Saccharomyces cerevisiae S288C: one gene and its partners. The protein of the gene in region 1 binds, or shares a complex with, the protein of each later gene. Each region holds a gene or a part of one and is shown on either strand. Other genes may lie near its edges. The genes, in order: DEP1, SIN3, SDS3 and TOD6. A codon is read from its position in the direction of its gene.

Region 1 (4,124 bases):
TGCTTTCTTTTCTTTTCTTTTTTTTTTTTTTTACCACACTTAGTCCTCTACTTTAACAGAAATATCATTTTCCAGTTTGACCATAGTTTCTTCAACTGTTTTCTCCTCGTGTTTAACATTGATTTCCGCCTCCACGTTCAGTTCACGTTTTCCTTCCAGGTATTTCACCCACTTTGGATAACTCATGATATTTTGCTGGATTTCCTTGTACAATTGAGACTGCAAATCCCAATCTAAGGAGCTTCTGGGATCATCCGGTGGCAAGAATTGTAACATGTCACCAAGGTTCCTCGATTTAGTGATTATTTGTCCAAATCCAACCAGCAACCCATTTATTTCTGTCCAAAGCCCCTTAGGCAGCCAATTTTGTAATTGAGTTCTTGTCTGATCTGGAGTCTTGCATTTCTGCGCATCTACCCATTTCCAAAGCTTGGTCAATCTATCCACGTGAACGTCAACGCAGATACCTTCAATCTTGCCCCATGCCTTTTGTAATGTTAGATAAGCCATTTTGGGCCCTACACCGGGCAGGCCCAATAGCTCATTAATCGTAGCTGGAACATCACTCGAAAACTGATCTTGAAGGATTTTGCAGGTTGACAAAATATACTTGGCCTTCCTTGTGTGGAACCCAACTGAATGAATCAATTCGTCTAATTTGGTCTCATTGATTTGTAAAACGGCCTCTAATGTCATACCTTCTTCGCTGTGCAGTTCGTCTATACAATACCGCATTATGTTAAGCATTGCCATTGCGGTAACTTCATCTTTTGTTTGCGATGATAGCATCACCCCAAGAAGGACCTGTAATCTGTAGTCCCTCGGTGATATCTGCTCTTTCGAGATACCACACTTAGAGGCAACCGTTACAGGAATGGATGATCCACCAATTATATCGACGGGGGCTAGAATCTTAGATCTCAGTACTCGCATTCTAGCGTATGTTTCTTGAAACTTGTAAGGGACTTTCGTCGAGGCCGGAGTGACAAGGATCGAGGGGTCCAATGGTGTGGCCCACCTGTTGGGCACATTGCCGTTTCTAACCACAATCCATTCGAAGTACTGCTTATTTGGCAGCGATTTAACCCAGTCGATATCCACGGGTTGAGGGACAACCTCTTCTTGTTTGATTTTGGTCCTTTTCTCCGGTAGGAGTTCTGATTCTGGCCCAGTTTCAGTCTTTACCAGCGGTCTTTTCCTCAGAATTGCCATAGATGAGTATTTACTGATCTTTTGCATATTTTTTTTTTTTTTGGGCTATAAAGTATATATAGATACAAATATATGATGAATCATTAAAGAGGAGGTTATTACTAAGTGAAAGAAAAAGAAAAAAAAAAAGATCAAAACCAAACTTCGTATTCGAGCCTAAAAAACAGAATATAATGTTATAATACTAATAGAAGCAACAGGAGCACCACTATCAGCACAAGAATAATCACGCAGTTGCCGTTATCCTTGAACCTAGAATTGTTAAAGCCATGCATGGACCGAGAGGCCCTGTTCAAATTCCTACCATTATTATCAATCAGGTTTTCTAAATCAACCAGCAGCGAGTCGTTCTGAGAAACGATCTCATTATTAAGGTCCAGCGAAATGTCATGAGTCCTCCCAATAGACTGAGACAGTGCGCCCAAGTGGGAATCTTGCTCTAACAACTGCTGTTGCTGGTTAATAAATAGTTCTTGGTTGGAAACCATGGGTTGTGGTGGCTGTGGCTGTGACTGTGACTGTAACTGCGATTGCAATGGTTCATCCTTGTATGGAGTATGCGTCGAAGGCAGCGGCGACTCCTCGTCTTGTTCATCGTCATCCTTATACATGACCGTAAGCTCGTCATCATTCTTGAACCGCACTTTTTTCAAAGACTCTTTGGACACCTCATCAGTATTTCTTGCCACCTGCTGTTGGAACCTATACAACTCCTTGTCAACCGCCGTATCAGGAATTTTGTCCAGTATGGTATTGTATCGGGATATTAGTTCATCATTGGGCGCACACTTCTGCAATAACTCCAATATTGAGCCCAATTGCCGTTTCAAAGTAACGTTATCGTTTGAGGTCGGGGCGAGCTTCAACACCGACACTAGCCTTGTTCTTTCTTCGACCAGATCAGAGAGCTGGTCCAGTTCATAACCCAGCTTCAACACATCCATACCGTGTGTGCTTACGCATCTATTTGCTGTCGTGAGATCTGTCTCTATGCTTTATTCGTTTTCCATTGTAAAGTCTCAGCATTTATTTCTTGTTCTTTACTTGTTTTTGCCCTTTCGGGTGATCAAAGTCGTGCTGGGAAATTTTATTCTTATAAAATGATTTTTAGAAATAATAAACTCATAACAGTGCAACGGCAAAGTACAAGGGAAGGAAGCACAGAAGCAAGAGGAGGCGCATCGATCGTGGCAGATGAGTCAGCAAACACCACAGGAAAGTGAACAGACCACAGCGAAAGAACAGGACCTTGATCAAGAGAGCGTGTTGAGCAACATTGACTTCAATACGGATTTGAATCACAATTTGAATTTATCGGAATACTGTATATCCAGTGACGCAGGAACAGAGAAGATGGATAGCGACGAGGAGAAGTCGTTGGCCAATCTGCCGGAGTTGAAATACGCTCCCAAGCTATCCAGCCTGGTGAAGCAAGAGACGCTCACCGAGAGCTTGAAAAGACCACACGAAGATGAGAAAGAGGCGATAGATGAGGCCAAGAAGATGAAAGTGCCGGGAGAGAACGAGGACGAAAGCAAGGAAGAGGAAAAGAGTCAAGAACTGGAAGAGGCAATTGACAGCAAGGAGAAGAGCACCGACGCCAGGGACGAGCAAGGGGACGAAGGTGATAATGAGGAGGAAAACAACGAGGAGGATAATGAAAACGAAAACGAGCATACAGCACCGCCTGCGCTGGTGATGCCCTCCCCCATCGAAATGGAGGAACAGAGGATGACTGCGCTGAAGGAAATCACCGACATCGAGTACAAGTTCGCGCAATTGCGCCAAAAACTATATGACAATCAATTGGTGCGGTTGCAAACGGAGCTGCAGATGTGTCTGGAAGGGTCACACCCGGAATTGCAGGTCTACTACTCGAAGATTGCCGCGATCCGTGACTACAAGCTACACCGAGCGTACCAGCGACAGAAGTACGAGCTTTCATGCATCAACACAGAAACAATCGCTACCAGGACATTCATTCACCAGGACTTCCACAAGAAGGTCACCGACCTGCGAGCCAGGCTGCTGAACAGAACCACGCAGACCTGGTACGATATCAACAAGGAGCGCCGCGATATGGATATAGTCATCCCAGATGTCAATTACCACGTCCCCATCAAACTTGATAACAAGACGCTGAGCTGTATCACGGGCTACGCCAGCGCAGCACAGCTGTGCTATCCCGGCGAGCCCGTGGCAGAGGACCTCGCTTGCGAAAGCATCGAGTACCGCTACAGAGCCAACCCGGTGGACAAACTCGAAGTCATTGTGGACCGAATGAGGCTCAATAACGAGATTAGCGACCTCGAAGGCCTGCGCAAATATTTCCACTCCTTCCCGGGTGCTCCTGAGTTGAACCCGCTTAGAGACTCCGAAATCAACGACGACTTCCACCAGTGGGCCCAGTGACCGCCACACTGGACCCCATACCACTTCTTTTTGTTATTCTTAAATATGTTGTAACGCTATGTAATTCCACCCTTCATTACTAATAATTAGCCATTCACGTGATCTCAGCCAGTTGTGGCGCCACACTTTTTTTTCCATAAAAATCCTCGAGGAAAAGAAAAGAAAAAAATATTTCAGTTATTTAAAGCATAAGATGCCAGGTAGATGGAACTTGTGCCGTGCCAGATTGAATTTTGAAAGTACAATTGAGGCCTATACACATAGACATTTGCACCTTATACATATACACACAAGACAAAACCAAAAAAAATATGACTCTACAAGAATCTGATAAATTTGCTACCAAGGCCATTCATGCCGGTGAACATGTGGACGTTCACGGTTCCGTGATCGAACCCATTTCTTTGTCCACCACTTTCAAACAATCTTCTCCAGCTAACCCTATCGGTACTTACGAATACTCCAGATCTCAAAATCCTAACAGAGAGAACTTGGAAAGA
Region 2 (7,767 bases), on another chromosome or scaffold:
CACTGGTTCGGTCTTTATTTTCTTAGTCTTTTTCTTGGAAATCTTAGAGATTGCCTCATCACTATCATAAGGTTCCGCTTCGTCTTGAAGAGAGGCAGAGTTCATGGACGCCACCTTTCTTTTTTTTAAAGTTTGAGATAATGGCACATCGTCATCGTCATCAGAAGACAACTCATGATTAACTTTGGAAGCATCAGCAATAGTCATTTTTACGCGTTTCAAGTTTCGAGCTCTGCCCTCCCTTTAGATTTTTTTTATTTGCTGTTTTAATACTATAAGAATAGGACTCAGGTAATTAGAGTAACAGAGAAAACAAAAAAGAATATTGCGCTCGTGTTAGTGTTGAAACAAAAAAATACAGTTGTTCTTTACGTGCATCGATCATATAAGAAAAGGGAAAAAAGCCGTAAAGTAAAAAAATAAAGAGCTTTCCATGGCTGGTTTTTTTTCTTTTTTTTTTTTTTTTTTGAAGACTACAGCAGGTATTACCCGGAGTGAAAAAGGTTTCTCACACTAAAATTTACGTGTTCAAGACATTGAAGTTATGTATAAATATATATGAGCGTATATTATGTGTATGTCCGTTTCCATTCTGTTTAGATTTTATGGCTATAGTATTAAACTCCTATATATCAAAATGCGTCGTCGGCGGCTAGAGTTTGCAGGTTCCACTCGGTTTCGAAATTTGTCTTCAGGGCGCCAAGCTTGTTAATGATGCTGTTACAGGCGTTTTTCAAGGCATCCTTCGGGTCGTAGCCCTCGGTGGTCTGTATTCTCAGCTTGAAACGAGCGAAGAAGGGATGCTCAACCTTGTAAGCGGCAAACAGCACTTTTCTGTCGTTCAGAAGTTCTGCACGAATCAGGTTTCCCAACGTGTGGTCCTCCTTCTCAAACGTTATCACTACTGCGTTGGGGGCTTTGGTGTCGGGGTCAATCTTTAGCTTGGATTCCCCTTCACCCAGAAGGAACAGTTCGAATCTGTCTGGAGCATTCATGATGCAGTTGTGTCCAAATGTATCTGGTTTGGTGGCTACGTAGCTATCTATTTAGGCTGCACGGCTCAGTTCTCTCGCTCTTCTTTTAACGGACCTCTTGTGTGTGCCAAAGCAGTGAACCTAGAATTTTCGCGGACACTTCCACTTTATTAAGTCCGGGTAATGATAATATTGAGCTTGCAAGTTTTTTGAACTCGGATAGCAGCATTATCCATGACATGACACGGATCTACCGACGAGGCTTACCGACGAGGCTTACCGACGAGGCTTACCGTGATCCCTCTCCAGTAGTCTGTAAATTCTGTTTATAATTTAAAAAATCTATCTTCTACTCCAGTCTTGTAACTACTGTTGTTACGCGCTGCCCAGAGTGTGGCACACACTGCGGGGTTACCCGTGTAACGTAGAATAAACCAGTACGGGTAATGATATCGGATTTTCTAGTGATTTTTTTCCATTCGCAAAAAAGTCGCCTTCATTTTGCAGTTCTTCAGCAAACGTGATTTGCAAAACAACGGTTACTCCCCTTCCCTATTACATTTGTCTTCCCTTTTTCGCACCAGCATTGCTAATATTCGAGGCACCGTACCTAACTAATCAGCTCATTCACGTACCACATATTCTTTGTTACTTCCCTCCCTCCACAACAGGCTACGCTATTGACCGCTTTCAGTATAGTCTCTTTACCCTTTTGTTGTGTTCGTTTGAGGTTATTTGGAAAAGGACAAAATATCTAAGAAACAAGTTATACATTGTACAAAAATGTCACAGGTTTGGCATAATTCGAATTCGCAATCAAACGATGTGGCTACTTCAAATGACGCTACGGGTTCCAACGAAAGAAACGAAAAAGAACCGTCCCTCCAGGGAAATAAGCCCGGTTTTGTTCAACAGCAGCAACGGATTACTTTACCCTCGCTATCTGCCTTGAGTACTAAGGAGGAAGATAGAAGAGATTCCAATGGCCAACAGGCTCTAACTTCTCATGCTGCTCACATATTAGGTTATCCTCCCCCACATTCAAATGCTATGCCCTCAATTGCAACTGATTCAGCATTGAAACAGCCCCACGAGTATCACCCTCGCCCTAAATCTTCGTCCTCTTCTCCCTCTATAAACGCTTCGCTTATGAATGCTGGTCCAGCTCCCCTCCCCACAGTGGGAGCCGCCAGTTTTTCTTTGTCGAGATTTGACAATCCATTACCGATAAAAGCTCCTGTTCATACAGAGGAACCAAAAAGTTATAATGGTCTTCAGGAAGAAGAAAAGGCGACGCAACGGCCTCAAGATTGCAAGGAAGTTCCCGCTGGTGTGCAGCCTGCTGATGCCCCTGACCCTAGCAGCAACCATGCAGATGCTAACGATGACAATAATAACAACGAAAATTCTCACGATGAAGATGCTGACTACAGACCTCTAAACGTGAAGGATGCCCTATCTTACCTCGAACAGGTCAAATTTCAATTTAGTTCGCGTCCGGATATCTATAATTTATTTTTAGATATTATGAAGGACTTTAAATCTCAGGCAATAGACACACCGGGCGTTATTGAAAGAGTATCCACTTTGTTCAGAGGTTATCCAATTTTGATTCAAGGGTTCAATACTTTTCTACCCCAAGGCTATAGAATCGAATGCTCCTCTAATCCGGACGACCCCATTAGAGTTACTACACCAATGGGTACTACGACAGTAAACAATAACATCAGTCCATCTGGTAGAGGTACAACGGATGCACAGGAACTTGGTTCTTTTCCAGAAAGCGATGGAAATGGTGTTCAACAGCCCTCCAATGTGCCAATGGTGCCTTCGAGTGTGTATCAATCGGAACAAAACCAAGACCAACAACAATCTTTGCCTCTTTTAGCTACTTCTTCTGGTTTACCTTCAATTCAACAACCTGAAATGCCTGCACATCGCCAAATCCCACAAAGTCAATCTTTAGTGCCTCAAGAAGATGCTAAGAAAAACGTTGATGTCGAATTTAGTCAAGCCATAAGCTACGTTAATAAAATTAAAACTAGATTTGCCGACCAACCTGATATTTACAAGCATTTTCTGGAAATACTACAAACTTATCAGCGAGAGCAAAAGCCAATAAACGAAGTCTACGCACAAGTGACGCATCTTTTCCAAAATGCTCCTGATTTACTAGAAGATTTCAAGAAATTCTTGCCGGACTCTTCAGCTTCTGCCAATCAGCAGGTGCAACATGCTCAGCAACATGCTCAACAACAACATGAGGCCCAAATGCATGCACAGGCACAAGCTCAGGCTCAGGCACAGGCACAGGTGGAACAACAGAAGCAGCAACAGCAATTCTTGTATCCAGCTTCGGGCTATTACGGCCATCCTTCTAACCGAGGTATTCCACAGCAAAACTTGCCTCCTATAGGAAGCTTCTCGCCTCCAACAAACGGTTCGACCGTACATGAAGCCTATCAGGATCAACAGCACATGCAACCACCCCACTTCATGCCCTTACCATCGATCGTTCAACACGGGCCAAATATGGTACATCAAGGGATAGCGAATGAAAATCCACCTCTATCAGATCTAAGAACGTCTCTCACTGAACAGTACGCTCCTTCTAGTATACAACATCAGCAGCAGCACCCGCAAAGTATTAGTCCTATAGCAAATACGCAGTATGGTGATATCCCTGTTAGACCGGAAATTGATTTAGATCCTAGCATTGTGCCTGTGGTCCCTGAACCCACTGAGCCCATCGAAAACAATATATCGCTTAATGAGGAAGTCACTTTCTTCGAAAAGGCCAAGAGGTATATCGGCAATAAACATTTATACACTGAGTTTTTGAAAATTTTAAATTTGTACTCTCAAGATATACTTGATCTTGACGATTTAGTGGAAAAGGTAGATTTCTACTTGGGTTCCAATAAAGAACTATTTACGTGGTTCAAAAACTTTGTTGGCTACCAAGAAAAAACCAAATGTATCGAGAATATTGTTCATGAAAAACATAGATTGGATTTAGATTTATGTGAGGCATTTGGCCCAAGTTACAAGAGGCTACCAAAAAGTGACACTTTCATGCCATGCTCAGGTAGGGATGATATGTGTTGGGAAGTCTTGAACGATGAATGGGTTGGACATCCTGTATGGGCTTCCGAAGATTCGGGATTTATTGCTCATCGTAAAAACCAGTATGAGGAAACACTATTCAAGATCGAAGAGGAAAGACATGAGTATGATTTTTACATTGAATCAAATTTAAGAACTATTCAATGTTTGGAAACAATTGTAAATAAGATCGAGAACATGACTGAGAATGAAAAAGCCAATTTTAAACTGCCTCCAGGTCTTGGCCATACTTCAATGACTATTTATAAAAAAGTGATAAGGAAAGTTTATGATAAGGAAAGGGGGTTCGAGATTATTGATGCTTTGCATGAGCACCCTGCAGTGACAGCCCCAGTCGTTCTGAAAAGGTTAAAGCAAAAAGACGAAGAATGGAGAAGAGCTCAACGTGAATGGAATAAAGTTTGGAGGGAGTTAGAACAGAAGGTTTTTTTCAAGTCATTAGATCATTTAGGCTTAACATTTAAACAGGCTGACAAGAAATTATTAACTACAAAGCAGTTGATATCAGAGATTAGCAGCATCAAAGTTGATCAAACAAACAAAAAAATTCACTGGTTAACTCCTAAACCAAAGAGCCAGTTAGATTTTGATTTCCCTGATAAAAACATTTTCTATGATATCTTGTGTTTGGCTGACACTTTTATAACCCATACCACAGCCTATTCTAATCCCGATAAAGAAAGATTGAAAGATTTACTAAAATACTTCATCTCTTTGTTTTTTTCTATTTCTTTCGAAAAAATCGAAGAATCGTTGTACTCCCATAAGCAAAACGTGTCAGAATCTAGCGGATCTGACGATGGCAGTTCTATTGCATCAAGGAAGAGGCCCTATCAACAAGAAATGAGTTTACTTGATATTTTACACAGGAGCAGATATCAAAAGCTAAAGCGTTCTAATGATGAAGATGGCAAAGTTCCCCAGCTCTCTGAACCACCCGAAGAAGAACCTAATACCATTGAGGAGGAAGAGCTCATCGATGAAGAAGCTAAAAATCCGTGGCTAACTGGGAATTTAGTGGAGGAAGCAAACTCTCAGGGTATTATCCAAAATCGCAGTATTTTTAATCTATTCGCTAATACGAATATTTACATATTTTTCCGTCATTGGACAACGATTTATGAGCGGCTTTTGGAAATTAAGCAAATGAATGAAAGGGTCACAAAGGAAATCAACACAAGGTCGACAGTTACTTTTGCCAAAGATCTAGATTTATTATCGAGTCAACTTTCCGAAATGGGACTAGATTTTGTTGGTGAAGACGCGTACAAACAGGTTTTAAGACTGAGTAGAAGGTTGATTAATGGGGATCTTGAACATCAGTGGTTTGAAGAGAGTTTGCGGCAAGCTTACAATAACAAAGCGTTTAAACTCTATACAATTGATAAAGTCACCCAATCGTTGGTAAAGCATGCTCATACCTTGATGACTGACGCTAAAACTGCGGAAATAATGGCTTTGTTCGTTAAAGATAGAAATGCCTCCACCACGAGTGCGAAGGACCAAATTATCTATCGCTTGCAGGTGCGCTCACATATGTCCAACACAGAAAATATGTTTAGAATAGAGTTTGATAAAAGAACTCTGCATGTTTCCATTCAATATATTGCACTTGATGATTTGACACTAAAGGAACCAAAGGCAGACGAAGATAAATGGAAATATTATGTAACATCGTATGCTCTGCCACATCCAACAGAAGGCATTCCGCACGAGAAACTGAAGATACCATTTTTGGAAAGGCTCATCGAATTTGGACAAGATATTGATGGAACAGAGGTAGATGAGGAGTTTTCCCCCGAAGGCATCTCTGTATCGACATTGAAAATTAAGATCCAGCCTATAACCTACCAACTGCATATTGAAAACGGGTCTTACGATGTTTTTACCCGTAAGGCTACTAACAAATATCCTACTATTGCTAATGATAATACTCAAAAAGGAATGGTTTCTCAGAAGAAGGAGTTGATATCAAAATTTCTAGACTGTGCAGTTGGTTTGAGAAATAATTTAGATGAGGCTCAAAAATTAAGTATGCAAAAAAAATGGGAGAACCTAAAAGACAGCATAGCAAAGACGAGTGCTGGAAACCAGGGAATAGAGAGTGAAACCGAAAAAGGTAAAATTACGAAACAGGAGCAGTCGGATAATTTGGACAGCTCTACTGCAAGTGTACTGCCTGCATCCATTACTACTGTACCACAAGATGATAATATAGAAACGACTGGGAATACTGAATCTTCAGACAAGGGGGCTAAGATTCAATAAGTAGTTTTAACTAGATTTAGAACAAAAATCTTTAGTACGACAGGGTCTTTCTTCTGATGTGTACCTTTAATTAATGTCAACGATATAACATTGTAATTTTAAAATTCTAAGTGTTTTTGAAGCTTTTTAAGACACATCGATCTTTCCATAAAGGAAGAAGTGATAACATGCAGTGGTTATATTTGTGTACTCATACACTGGTGCATGAATCTTTTTACACGTCATTAGCATAGTATGTAATCGAAAGGACACTATTTATAAGGGACAGTTTATACATACATATACTTGATATTCCCATGAATGAGTATTCTATTCCATATCAACATCCACTCCAAAATCGTCTAGTGATTCACCCCAGTCGTTGTACCACTTCTCACGAGAAGCATGTCTGCCATTTTGAGGAAGTCTGGTCCTTATTAGCTGTTCGCCACTTTCATTACGCATCTCTATTGTTGAGCTGCCATGATTGAAGACGGTGTTTGTTTTACCTCCATCTGGTGGCCAGGGAAGTGAAAGGATGTGGTCTTCCAATGAGGAGTTAGCCTCATATTTTGAAATACCGTTTTTTGGAAAATTGTTCCCATCTCCCGTAGGAACACCATATGGCCATAACCATAAATGAATGGGACCAAGGTACAGTAATGCATTAGTGTACAAATCAAAATCGTAAGGGAAATTTACAAGTTCATCAAAACGTGGCCTTTTTTTTGTCAAGTGTTCCTCAGCATCCTTTTTATTTTGAAACGACCTCGACTCTGGATATATTCTCCAAGTATTATCAATTAATTTCTGAGTTAATCTTCCGGAGTTGAACAAAGATTCTAGCCGATCCATATCCCACGACTCAATTTGAGATCTTCCATTCAAGATTTGATTGAATAAACATCGTAGGAAAAGAATTGTTATCGTTAGTAGGACAAAAGAATTTAAAGGACTCGATATTGTTAAGAAAATCAGTTCTGATTTTTTGAAGAAGTAGCCAGGCAAGTGCCTTTGTTGCCAAATAAAATATATCCGCTTAGCTTGTATGCAAAATAAAACACTAGTCGTCACTATGATCCAAAATAAGAATCTAAGGAAATGCGGATAGTTTGCAAAGCCGACGCAATTCATCGTCCACGGACAATGATGATCCATCATTAGGACGCATTGATTGCAGGTTTTACAATGATGTGAACGTTCTGGCTTATAACTTTGGCACTTCTTACAGAAATTCCGCCAGATATCAGGGGGTGGTTTGTAGTTGGGCAAAGGCCTTCCTGGATTTGTGCAGATGGCCAAGTAATAGGAGAGCCATATCATTGACAAACAGAACTCAAATGTTATTTGTTTCGGAACTGACAAGAAATTGGATAAAATAAAGTAGTGTGCACCATAGCCTATAAATGAAATCAGAAAC
Region 3 (3,979 bases), on another chromosome or scaffold:
ATTCACGGAATGTTACTTATCTTATATATTATATAAAATATGAATCATACTAAGTGGTGGAAGCGCGGAATCTCGGATCTAAACTAATTGTTCAGGCATTTATACTTTGGGTAGTTCAGCTAGGGAAGGTCGGGTTTTGTCTCATGTTGTTCGTTTTGTTATAAGGTTGTTTCATATGTGTTTTATGAACGTTCAGGGTGACGTATTGTCATACTGACATATCTCATTTTGAGATACAACATGTTCCATGATATGGAAAAACGTATACCAGTGCTACAAACCCTGTTAACAATTAAATTCTTATTACTTCTTGCACAAAGATGCTAACACTTTACAGCTTTGAAAGTAACAGGAAGAAGTGATGCTGTGACAATTAACAGGGTATTTTTTTTTTCACTTCTACTTAAATCGGAGTTACAATTTATGATAAAAAAATCAAGAAAAAAACCTGATTATGCTAAGAAAGTAGAGGCGACGATGACCACCTATGGCCTAACCTAACTATGAACAGATGGTAGGCTCTAAATTGCGTGCCTGAAATCTGCGGATTTGATATGTAGGCGATGTTTTGGGTATTTTCCACCAACTTTATTGGCAAGGGAAGAATTCGATGACCCGAATTCGCCAAACGACAAAAACTGGAGGAGTGACCTATTGTTAACGTTTTTTTTTTTTTTTTAAAGGCATTGTCATCAACAGGACATCTGTATAAGAGGCTAAGACAATTACGCACACAACGCTTTTATTAGTTGTCATAAACTGTGTAGATTAGCAGCAGACACTCCTTTTTTTCTTCATACTATAGCAATGCCACCTCTACCCGTGCTCAACAGACCTCAAATTCATACGTCTGTTACTGAAATAAGTCATGCAATTGATCGTACAATCAAGGAAGAGCTCTTTCCCGTTGCCTACACTACTGAAGAAGAGCAATATTTCAAAACTAACCCTAAACCTGCCTATATCGATGAATTGATTAAGGACGCTAAAGAGTTTATTGATTTGCAGTATTCCCTGAAAAGGAACAAAATAGTTCTTATCACCTCTGGTGGTACTACTGTTCCATTGGAAAACAATACAGTACGTTTTATCGATAATTTTTCTGCAGGTACTCGTGGTGCATCGAGTGCTGAACAGTTCTTAGCGAACGGATATAGTGTTATTTTCTTACATAGGGAATTCTCATTAACTCCGTATAATAGGTCCTTCTCCCATAGCATTAATACTTTATTCTTGGACTACATTGATTCTGAAGGTAAAATCAAACCTGAATTTGCTGAGAATGTTTTGAAGAACAAAAAGCTTTATGACAAGTATATGGAGAAAGAGGAGAAACTACTTTTACTACCATTCACCACGGTCAACCAATACTTATGGTCACTGAAAAGTATAGCCAAGCTATTGAATAATAGTGGTTGCTTGTTTTATTTAGCTGCTGCTGTCAGTGATTTTTTTGTTCCATATTCAAGACTACCTCAGCACAAGATTCAATCAGGAGACAACGGTAAGATGGGAGCAAATAATGACACTGAAGGTACAACTAGGACTACGCCTGATGGTAAACTGATTGTGAATCTTGACCCTGTCCCTAAGTTTTTGAGAAGATTAGTGGAATCATGGGCCACTCAAGCGATGATCGTTTCGTTCAAATTAGAAACTGATGAATCCATGCTGCTTTACAAATGTACACAAGCCCTGGATAGATACAACCATCAACTGGTTATCGGAAACCTTTTACAGACAAGAAACAAACAGGTCATTTTCGTATCCCCTGAAAACAGAAAGGGAGATTGGGTACGTTTGGATGAAAAACACCATAGCATTGAAGAGATGATAATCCCAGAAGTCATCGCACGCCATGACAAATGGGTGGCGCATTCGAAAACTAAGCTAGCTACGAAATAAAACATAGCTCTTGTCTGTAATCAAAAAAATTTGCGTCAAAAAAAAAAATTAGATGTATGTAAACCTTTTTATTGAACTGAAAATTTATCTTTTATCAAATCTTTTTCTTCTATGCCTTAATTATGTTTTCAGGTATCTTTTTTCTCATTATTTAATTTAGCTTATGTATTGATCATTTCGCTTGAGATTTCAGGAAGAAAAAACGCAAACAATTTTTCAGCTAAAATGAACCCTTGGAAAAGCTTTAAGAGAACAAGAGAAACTGTAGAGCTCAGTGTGCATTGTCTTCAAGATTGATGGCTATTCAAAAGGTTAGTAACAAGGACTTGTCCCGCAAGGACAAAAGAAGATTTAATATCGAATCTAAAGTTAATAAGATTTATCAAAATTTTTACTCAGAAAGAGATAATCAATATAAAGATAGACTGACAGCATTGCAAACGGATTTAACTTCTCTGCATCAAGGTGATAATGGCCAATATGCCCGCCAAGTACGAGATTTGGAGGAAGAAAGAGATCTAGAGTTAGTCAGGTTGCGCCTGTTTGAAGAGTACCGTGTTTCTCGTTCCGGTATCGAATTTCAAGAAGATATTGAAAAGGCTAAGGCTGAACACGAGAAACTCATTAAATTATGCAAAGAAAGACTGTATTCGTCTATAGAGCAAAAAATAAAGAAATTACAGGAGGAGAGGTTACTAATGGATGTGGCCAATGTGCACTCCTATGCCATGAATTATAGCAGACCGCAATACCAGAAGAACACGAGAAGTCACACAGTAAGTGGTTGGGATTCTTCGTCCAACGAATATGGAAGAGATACAGCAAACGAAAGTGCTACTGACACGGGAGCTGGAAACGATAGAAGAACGCTAAGGAGAAGGAATGCTTCTAAAGACACGAGAGGTAACAACAACAATCAAGATGAATCTGATTTTCAAACTGGTAATGGTTCTGGAAGTAATGGCCATGGTTCTAGACAAGGGTCGCAATTCCCCCATTTCAACAACCTAACCTACAAGTCAGGCATGAACTCTGACTCAGATTTTCTACAAGGTATAAATGAAGGTACTGATCTATATGCATTTTTGTTTGGCGAAAAGAACCCCAAAGACAATGCTAATGGGAATGAAAAGAAAAAAAACCGTGGTGCTCAACGATATTCCACCAAAACAGCTCCACCTTTACAGTCTTTGAAACCAGATGAGGTCACAGAGGATATTTCCTTGATCAGAGAATTAACAGGTCAGCCTCCGGCTCCTTTCAGACTAAGGTCTGACTAATTTATTTTATGCTGCAAACCTTCCACTTTAACTTTGTATTATATTACATTAGATGGTTATATTTCAATGTGAGCTCTTTTTGTTTTTGCTTTCTTTTCTCGGATACAAGTGGAAAACGAAAAAAAAAAATTGGCTAAAATTTACTGTATACATCAGGCTAACAATCTGTGATTATAGGCACAGTTGTACCAAAGAAGGGCTAGAATATACATCATAATTAGATGCAATTAGCATGGCTATAAGATTGAATCCAAAAGTCAGAAGGTTCTTGCTGGATAAGTGTCGACAAAAACGATATGGTTTCCTCTTTTTAGGATGTATCTTCGCCATACTTTACTGTATGGGGACCTGGCCATTTTTCGCAAAAGATATTGTACATGATCCAAATAATTTGCCTTATTCCTTACAGGATTATTCGACTGACAAAGACGAGCCATTTTTCCGGGGCTGCACTGATACAAAGCTGTACTTGCAAAATCCTGCTTACTCCAAAATGAACGCATCTTTCGTTATGCTAACGAGAAACGAAGAAATAGAAGACGTACTGAAAACTATGAGAAGTATAGAGGGCCATTTCAATAAGTGGTTCAAATATCCGTACGTTTTCTTGAATGATGACCCCTTTACAGATCATTTTAAGGACCAAATTCAAGCTGCAACTAATGCCACTGTAGAGTTTGGCACTGTTGATGAAATTATGTGGGAGTTTCCTGCTAAGGTTCGTAATTCATTGCAGTTTAAGGCTTCATTAGAAGACCAAAACGATCGCGGTATAATGTATGGTAATATGGAAT
Region 4 (4,975 bases), on another chromosome or scaffold:
TAAATTGTAACAGAATTTATAAATCCTATTCATATAGATACATCTGTTTTTCCTTACTCTGTTTTTATTTTGTTGGTAACCTTTGAATCCTTTTTGATGAAAAAAATAGAAAAAAAAAAAAAAAAAAAATGAAAGCAATATCGACTGTATGTATATGCGCACCATAATTTTCCTATTAATAGTTTAAGCATAATTAGTGTACTTACTAAAAATAATGTAACTTTGCTCTTTGCACCAATAGATGTTACTCTCCAAATATCTTACAGGTCGTCTTCCACGTGGTATCTATCAAAGTAGCCAGATCCACGTCCTTGACTTCCGATACGACAATTGCTACTTGTTCCATATTACAAGGCTCATTACGGCCCTTGACCATGTAAAGTTCTTCTGCATTCAACTTGTCAGCGAGCTTATTTTTCTTAACGGACTTGAATGCAGGGTATTCGAAATCCCTAACCTCCTGGTATTTGGCTAAGTACTGGAAAGATGCATGCGTTCTTTTAATCTCACACCACGGAGCATCTGTCTCTAATAACAACCTTTCTGTTGGTATTTGCTTTACAACAGCTAGATTTTCCTCGGTTCTCAACGAGCAACCGTTTACTCCTATGAAGATGTTGGGTGATAAGTTCAGTAATTTCTGCAAATCTATCGCAGAACCAGTGAATGAATGGACCACTAGTTTTCTATCTGGATGAAATTTGTAAAACCCGCTAGACGACGATGCACCTAACTTTTGTAGCTGAAAGGTATCCCTCTCATCAGTGAACCCGGCAATAAATCTTTCCAATATTTGAACAAAATCGTCACATGCGCTTCTCATATGCAGAAACAATGGATAGCTGCTGAGTTTATCGTTCAAACAACTTATTTTCAGTTGCTCTTCAAAAAAAACCTTTTGCATCTCTTTAGAACTATAGTGAAATCTGTCGTAGTCCAACCCGATCTCACCAATTGACCTGAAACTTGTATCATGAGGTTTTGCTTGCTGATTCATCAAATCATAAAGCTCTTTCAGTTTACCCTGTGCAAAAGATGGATTACTAATAACTTTAGCATATAGAGACTCATTATATGCTTCATCCATGGAAGGGTTATCAATAGAAGCGCTAGCCTTGTCCCCTTGACTAGCATCCGCAAACTCGTTAACGCAACATGGGTGAACACCTATTGTGTGATACAGCTTTAACGGGCTAAGATCTTTGACGCTGCTTACCAACTCAATGGCACTTTGAGACTCCGCTATGGATGATCCTGTAACAAGGGCATTTTTCACGTGCCTCTGAGCAGCACGCTCTAATAATTTTACATAATCTGCTGGATGGTACTGCTTACCATTGTAAATACCGTGAAACATAGGATCTGTCAGATTCAATCCAATATCATAGTATTTCAGCGGAGAATCCGTGGCAGTTGATGTCATGCTATAATATTGTGTCAAAATTGGTTTCCAGAGCCTAGAACAACTTTTGTTCGAGGATTTCAATAAGATGCCCCACATATAACTATAACAGTACTGGCGCCTCAAAAAAATGCCTTGGCAGCGAAAGTGTCCACCTTTAGTTGTCCATTGCTACCAGGACATCACCACTGGGCCCTTCCAGCATGCTGGAAAGATTGTTCTTAGAAGAGTGCTGTTCTAAGTAACCCGGCGTTAGTAGGGGCTAAGCCTTCTAGAAGGCCGGAAAAGGCTCAGAAATGCCTGCAGTGCAAAGCTTTTCAGGAACGTTACTAGCGCAAGTCTTCTGGCTGCTGTTTAGCAACCTCTTTGCAGGTATTTCGCAGCGGGATTTCGCAGGTGTCTTGCCTAGCGTATCAACACTTAGTAGCAGTTAGGTTCTAAAGTTAAACTCCACTTCCGTTCTTCTTCGAGTTCCTTTTTGAGCGGTTTGGCCTATCTTGTCTCATCATCTTGTTAGTGTGCGACGTTATCTGTGGGTGAGAGAGGCTATTTTTGGTCCGGTGAAAAAAAAATTTTTTCTCTGCTGAGAGCTGAAATTTGAAAATTGAGATGAGATGCGATGCGATGAGATGCGAGACCAATGCGATGAGACACTTTTCTACTTCCTTACACAGAAGTCGTGTATAGTTTTTGTACGTTGATATTAATAAAGGCTTTTCATATCATTTTGTTTTCAGGTAAACAAATCTGGCAAATCTCCACTGCTTGAGTCATTAAAACTACTCACTCAAGAAGGCATATACACGACAGTGGGTAGAGAAAAGAATATATCACTGTTCTTATTGAAGTTCCCTCGCGATGACGTTGCCGAAACTCAGTAGCGTTTCTGTTTCATCAGGACATGTTAGTGCCAACTCACATGGTTTCTCAATACTAAGCAAACACCCTCACCCAAATAATCTTGTCCATTCCCACTCACTTTCTCACACAAATGCGAAGAGCCACCTGCCTATCAGTAGCACTAGCACTAAAGAGAACAGCACGAACAAGGAGGAGGCGGAATCACTCAAAAAAAACAACCCCTCTTCTTGGGACCCTAGTGATGATATCAAGCTCCGCCACCTGAAAGAGATCAAGAACTTGGGCTGGAAGGAGATTGCACATCATTTCCCAAATAGAACTCCTAACGCTTGTCAATTCAGATGGAGGAGACTGAAATCAGGCAACTTAAAGTCTAACAAGACCGCAGTTATTGACATCAATAAGCTATTCGGCGTGTATGCGACTGGTGATGCTACCCCATCCGCGGGTACTCCGTCTGCGGAAGAAGCCGTAAAAGAGGAAGCTGTTGAGGATGAAGATATTACTGCAGGTTCTAGTGCTATCGAGGATTCTCCACCGGATTTCAAGCCATTAGTTAAGCCTAAATACATGGACAGAAAACTGATAACTCAAAGATCTACATCAACATTTTCGGACCATGAGCCACAACACACGAAACCAAGGAAACTGTTTGTTAAGCCAAGGTCCTTCTCTCATTCTATAACAACCAACACGCCTAATGTAAAGACTGCTCAGCAGACAAATCTAAGCCTTTATAACACTACTTCAGCAAAGACAAATAAAGCTGTTAATTCCAATGATTATGAGAATATTGGTCTTGTGCCTAAAATTATTATCAGGTCTAGAAGGAACTCCTTTATTCCTTCAACTCAAATCCCTCATTCAACGACGAAGACTAGGAAAAACTCGCATTCCGTAATTTCTTCTAGAAGATCATCTTTTAACATGATGCATTCAAGAAGATCATCCTTCAACTCTCACGCTCCTACGGAGCCTATTTCTAGAAGAGCTTCCTTGGTAGTTAGCCCGTATATGTCACCCAGAAGGTTATCTACATCGCAATCCGTTCATTATCATCCACAGCACCAATACTATCTTAACCCCATAGCGTCTCCCAACTGCAAGACAGACCACGCAAATGACAAAATCACGCACACGAGGACTTTCTTAGATATGCAAAAATTCGCTAATAAACACCCGTGGTCTAGAGAAGATGATGAAGTGCTACTTAACAATACGAAGGACAAACAAAACCATTTGTCGCCGCTAGAAATTTCTATTGTTCTGCCTAATAATAGATCCGAGTTGGAAATCCAACAAAGAATGGATTATTTAAAGAGAAAAGGACGTGTAAGTGGTTTTCATACAAATGAAGGATGCAAAGACGAGGAGGAGGAGGATGACATTGACCCACTGCACAAGGAGAATGGCATTAACACGCCATCGCAGCAATCGCAAAATTACGGTATGTTAGAGGCTAAACATGATAATCCAAAGTCTAGTGAGCTTTCTTCTATGACCAGCGCAAATGACATACGCAATGAGCAAGATGAACTTCCAGGTATAAATTCTATCTTTAAAAATATATTTTAAGCTAAGAGACGAATTTAGTTTGTTTTGACTATTCGTTTAATGAGTACAAATTAATCGCACCCACACATGTACACACACACATATATATCTTTATATATACACATAAAATTTATTCGTAGGAGAATTCTGTAATACTATTGACTACAAGGGTTCTTATTGCTATTAATAATGTTACATGTATATGCTTATATCCAATATATACCCATCGCCGCTTATTCTTCGTCATCCTCTATTAGAGTTATTTTTCTTCTTTTTCTGACTCTCTCCTTCCTTATGTGGCTTTCTATATCGTTTTCATCCTGCTCTTGTCCTTTTCTCTTCCCATCCTCATCATCATCACTGTCTTCTTCATATGTGTCTTCCTCCTCATCATTTTCTTCTGATATTTGCTCATCCTCAATGTCATCATCAAGGGTAAAGTCTTCGTCTTCGTCTTCATCTTCTTTGGCGTTTTCACCTACATATAATTCAGTATCTACATCGTTTTCTACTTCATCCTGCTCTAAACTTGATATTCCAGTATCGTTTCTCCTAGCTGCATGATTTCCAAGTGGTGTTTCGGAGTTTTTAATAGTGAAGCAGAGCTCCCAATGAGTTTCTGTACTAAATTTTGATCTTGGTATCCCTTTGCGATCATGGATGCTTTCCAGCACTCTTTTTTCCGCTTGATAGATTAATCTATCATTATTTGTGTTCTTATAATCACACATATACTCTGTTAAGGAGGAAACAGTGTCTTCAAAAAAATCAGTAGCAGGTACTTCCGGTTCTATGATATTGTTTACATGAAGCTTGGATGTTTTGTGCTCACTACTTCTTCTTCTTCTTCTTCTGCGTTTATTATGTGCTCTACTGTTGTTATAGTTTTCTATATGTGTGTTATTCGAAATTACCGGAGCCATAGTTTCATTTGTAAGAGCTTCGTCCGCTAATGCGGTGGGTTCTAAGTTCATCATCCCATTTATACCAAATGACGGCCCTAATATAATAGGTTCCCACAATAGTTTGTCATATTTGACGCGAGGATAGTTTTTTGAGCTCCAAGTTTTGTAAATATTTTCAATCCTGTTCCAAGAATCGATTTTAATAATATAGTTGAAATCATCCAAACTGGATAATGAGCGTGTTTTATGGCGA

What was found.
Region 2: the proteins of DEP1 (region 1) and SIN3 are in contact, whole or in part, in a cryo-EM structure (PDB 8HPO), measured with the Saccharomyces cerevisiae proteins. Residues at the interface, in NP_009389.3 of Saccharomyces cerevisiae: Asp297 (codon at 3,295), Val299 (codon at 3,301), Ile300 (codon at 3,304), Pro301 (codon at 3,307), Asp302 (codon at 3,310), Val303 (codon at 3,313), Asn304 (codon at 3,316), Tyr305 (codon at 3,319), Tyr322 (codon at 3,370), Leu356 (codon at 3,472), Ile359 (codon at 3,481), Arg362 (codon at 3,490), Met363 (codon at 3,493), Asn366 (codon at 3,502), Asn367 (codon at 3,505), Ile369 (codon at 3,511), Ser370 (codon at 3,514), Leu372 (codon at 3,520), Glu373 (codon at 3,523), Gly374 (codon at 3,526), Lys377 (codon at 3,535), Tyr378 (codon at 3,538), Phe379 (codon at 3,541), Phe382 (codon at 3,550), Pro383 (codon at 3,553), Gly384 (codon at 3,556), Ala385 (codon at 3,559), Pro386 (codon at 3,562), Leu388 (codon at 3,568), Asn389 (codon at 3,571); in NP_014639.1 of Saccharomyces cerevisiae: Pro643 (codon at 3,684), Ser644 (codon at 3,687), Val648 (codon at 3,699), Val649 (codon at 3,702), Pro650 (codon at 3,705), Glu651 (codon at 3,708), Pro652 (codon at 3,711), Thr653 (codon at 3,714), Glu654 (codon at 3,717), Pro655 (codon at 3,720), Ile656 (codon at 3,723), Glu813 (codon at 4,194), Tyr817 (codon at 4,206), Tyr820 (codon at 4,215), Val835 (codon at 4,260), Asn836 (codon at 4,263), Glu839 (codon at 4,272), Lys869 (codon at 4,362), Val870 (codon at 4,365), Tyr871 (codon at 4,368), Asp872 (codon at 4,371), Arg875 (codon at 4,380), Glu878 (codon at 4,389), Ile879 (codon at 4,392), Glu885 (codon at 4,410), His886 (codon at 4,413), Thr890 (codon at 4,425), Pro892 (codon at 4,431), Val893 (codon at 4,434), Leu895 (codon at 4,440).
Region 3: the proteins of DEP1 (region 1) and SDS3 are in contact, whole or in part, in a cryo-EM structure (PDB 8HPO), measured with the Saccharomyces cerevisiae proteins. Residues at the interface, in NP_009389.3 of Saccharomyces cerevisiae: Arg197 (codon at 2,995), Gln198 (codon at 2,998), Tyr201 (codon at 3,007), Gln204 (codon at 3,016), Leu205 (codon at 3,019), Leu208 (codon at 3,028), Gln209 (codon at 3,031), Leu212 (codon at 3,040), Cys215 (codon at 3,049), Leu216 (codon at 3,052), His220 (codon at 3,064), Glu222 (codon at 3,070), Tyr226 (codon at 3,082), Tyr227 (codon at 3,085), Ile230 (codon at 3,094), Ala231 (codon at 3,097), Arg234 (codon at 3,106), Lys237 (codon at 3,115), Leu238 (codon at 3,118), Ala241 (codon at 3,127), Tyr242 (codon at 3,130), Arg244 (codon at 3,136), Gln245 (codon at 3,139), Glu248 (codon at 3,148), Leu249 (codon at 3,151), Cys251 (codon at 3,157), Ile252 (codon at 3,160), Glu255 (codon at 3,169), Thr256 (codon at 3,172), Thr259 (codon at 3,181); in NP_012182.1 of Saccharomyces cerevisiae: Phe32 (codon at 2,295), Tyr33 (codon at 2,298), Arg36 (codon at 2,307), Asp37 (codon at 2,310), Tyr40 (codon at 2,319), Leu44 (codon at 2,331), Leu47 (codon at 2,340), Asp50 (codon at 2,349), Leu51 (codon at 2,352), Leu54 (codon at 2,361), His55 (codon at 2,364), Gln56 (codon at 2,367), Gly57 (codon at 2,370), Gln61 (codon at 2,382), Tyr62 (codon at 2,385), Gln65 (codon at 2,394), Val66 (codon at 2,397), Leu69 (codon at 2,406), Glu70 (codon at 2,409), Arg73 (codon at 2,418), Glu76 (codon at 2,427), Leu77 (codon at 2,430), Leu80 (codon at 2,439), Glu84 (codon at 2,451), Arg87 (codon at 2,460), Val88 (codon at 2,463), Ser91 (codon at 2,472), Gly92 (codon at 2,475), Glu94 (codon at 2,481), Phe95 (codon at 2,484).
Region 4: DEP1 (region 1) and TOD6 share a complex: the UniProt entries of both Saccharomyces cerevisiae proteins name them as parts of the RPD3C(L) complex.

Annotation. Positions count from the first base shown.
Region 1 is NC_001133.9:126,864-130,987, forward strand, and holds DEP1 (Rpd3L histone deacetylase complex subunit DEP1), read left to right. Parts: upstream 1-2,406; coding exon 2,407-3,624; downstream 3,625-4,124. Other genes in the region: bifunctional N-glycosylase/AP lyase NTG1, read right to left, coding at 40-1,239; SYN8 (syntaxin), read right to left, coding at 1,389-2,156; cystathionine gamma-lyase CYS3, read left to right, coding at 3,936-4,124. UniProt on the Saccharomyces cerevisiae protein: Component of the RPD3C(L) histone deacetylase complex (HDAC) responsible for the deacetylation of lysine residues on the N-terminal part of the core histones (H2A, H2B, H3 and H4).
Region 2 is NC_001147.6:315,181-322,947, forward strand, and holds SIN3 (transcriptional regulator SIN3), read left to right. Parts: upstream 1-1,757; coding exon 1,758-6,368; downstream 6,369-7,767. Other genes in the region: TOP1 (DNA topoisomerase 1), read right to left, coding at 1-207; DNA-directed RNA polymerase II core subunit RPB11, read right to left, coding at 633-995; palmitoyltransferase PFA4, read right to left, coding at 6,678-7,767. UniProt on the Saccharomyces cerevisiae protein: Catalytic component of the RPD3 histone deacetylase complexes RPD3C(L) and RPD3C(S) responsible for the deacetylation of lysine residues on the N-terminal part of the core histones (H2A, H2B, H3 and H4).
Region 3 is NC_001141.2:201,482-205,460, reverse strand, and holds SDS3 (Sds3p), read left to right. Parts: upstream 1-2,201; coding exon 2,202-3,185; downstream 3,186-3,979. Other genes in the region: phosphopantothenate--cysteine ligase CAB2, read left to right, coding at 808-1,905; KTR7 (putative mannosyltransferase), read left to right, coding at 3,418-3,979. UniProt on the Saccharomyces cerevisiae protein: Component of the RPD3C(L) histone deacetylase complex (HDAC) responsible for the deacetylation of lysine residues on the N-terminal part of the core histones (H2A, H2B, H3 and H4).
Region 4 is NC_001134.8:115,329-120,303, forward strand, and holds TOD6 (Tod6p), read left to right. Parts: upstream 1-2,260; coding exon 2,261-3,838; downstream 3,839-4,975. Other genes in the region: YBL055C (3'-5'-exodeoxyribonuclease), read right to left, coding at 245-1,501; SAS3 (histone acetyltransferase), read right to left, coding at 4,051-4,975. UniProt on the Saccharomyces cerevisiae protein: Component of the RPD3 histone deacetylase complex RPD3C(L) responsible for the deacetylation of lysine residues on the N-terminal part of the core histones (H2A, H2B, H3 and H4).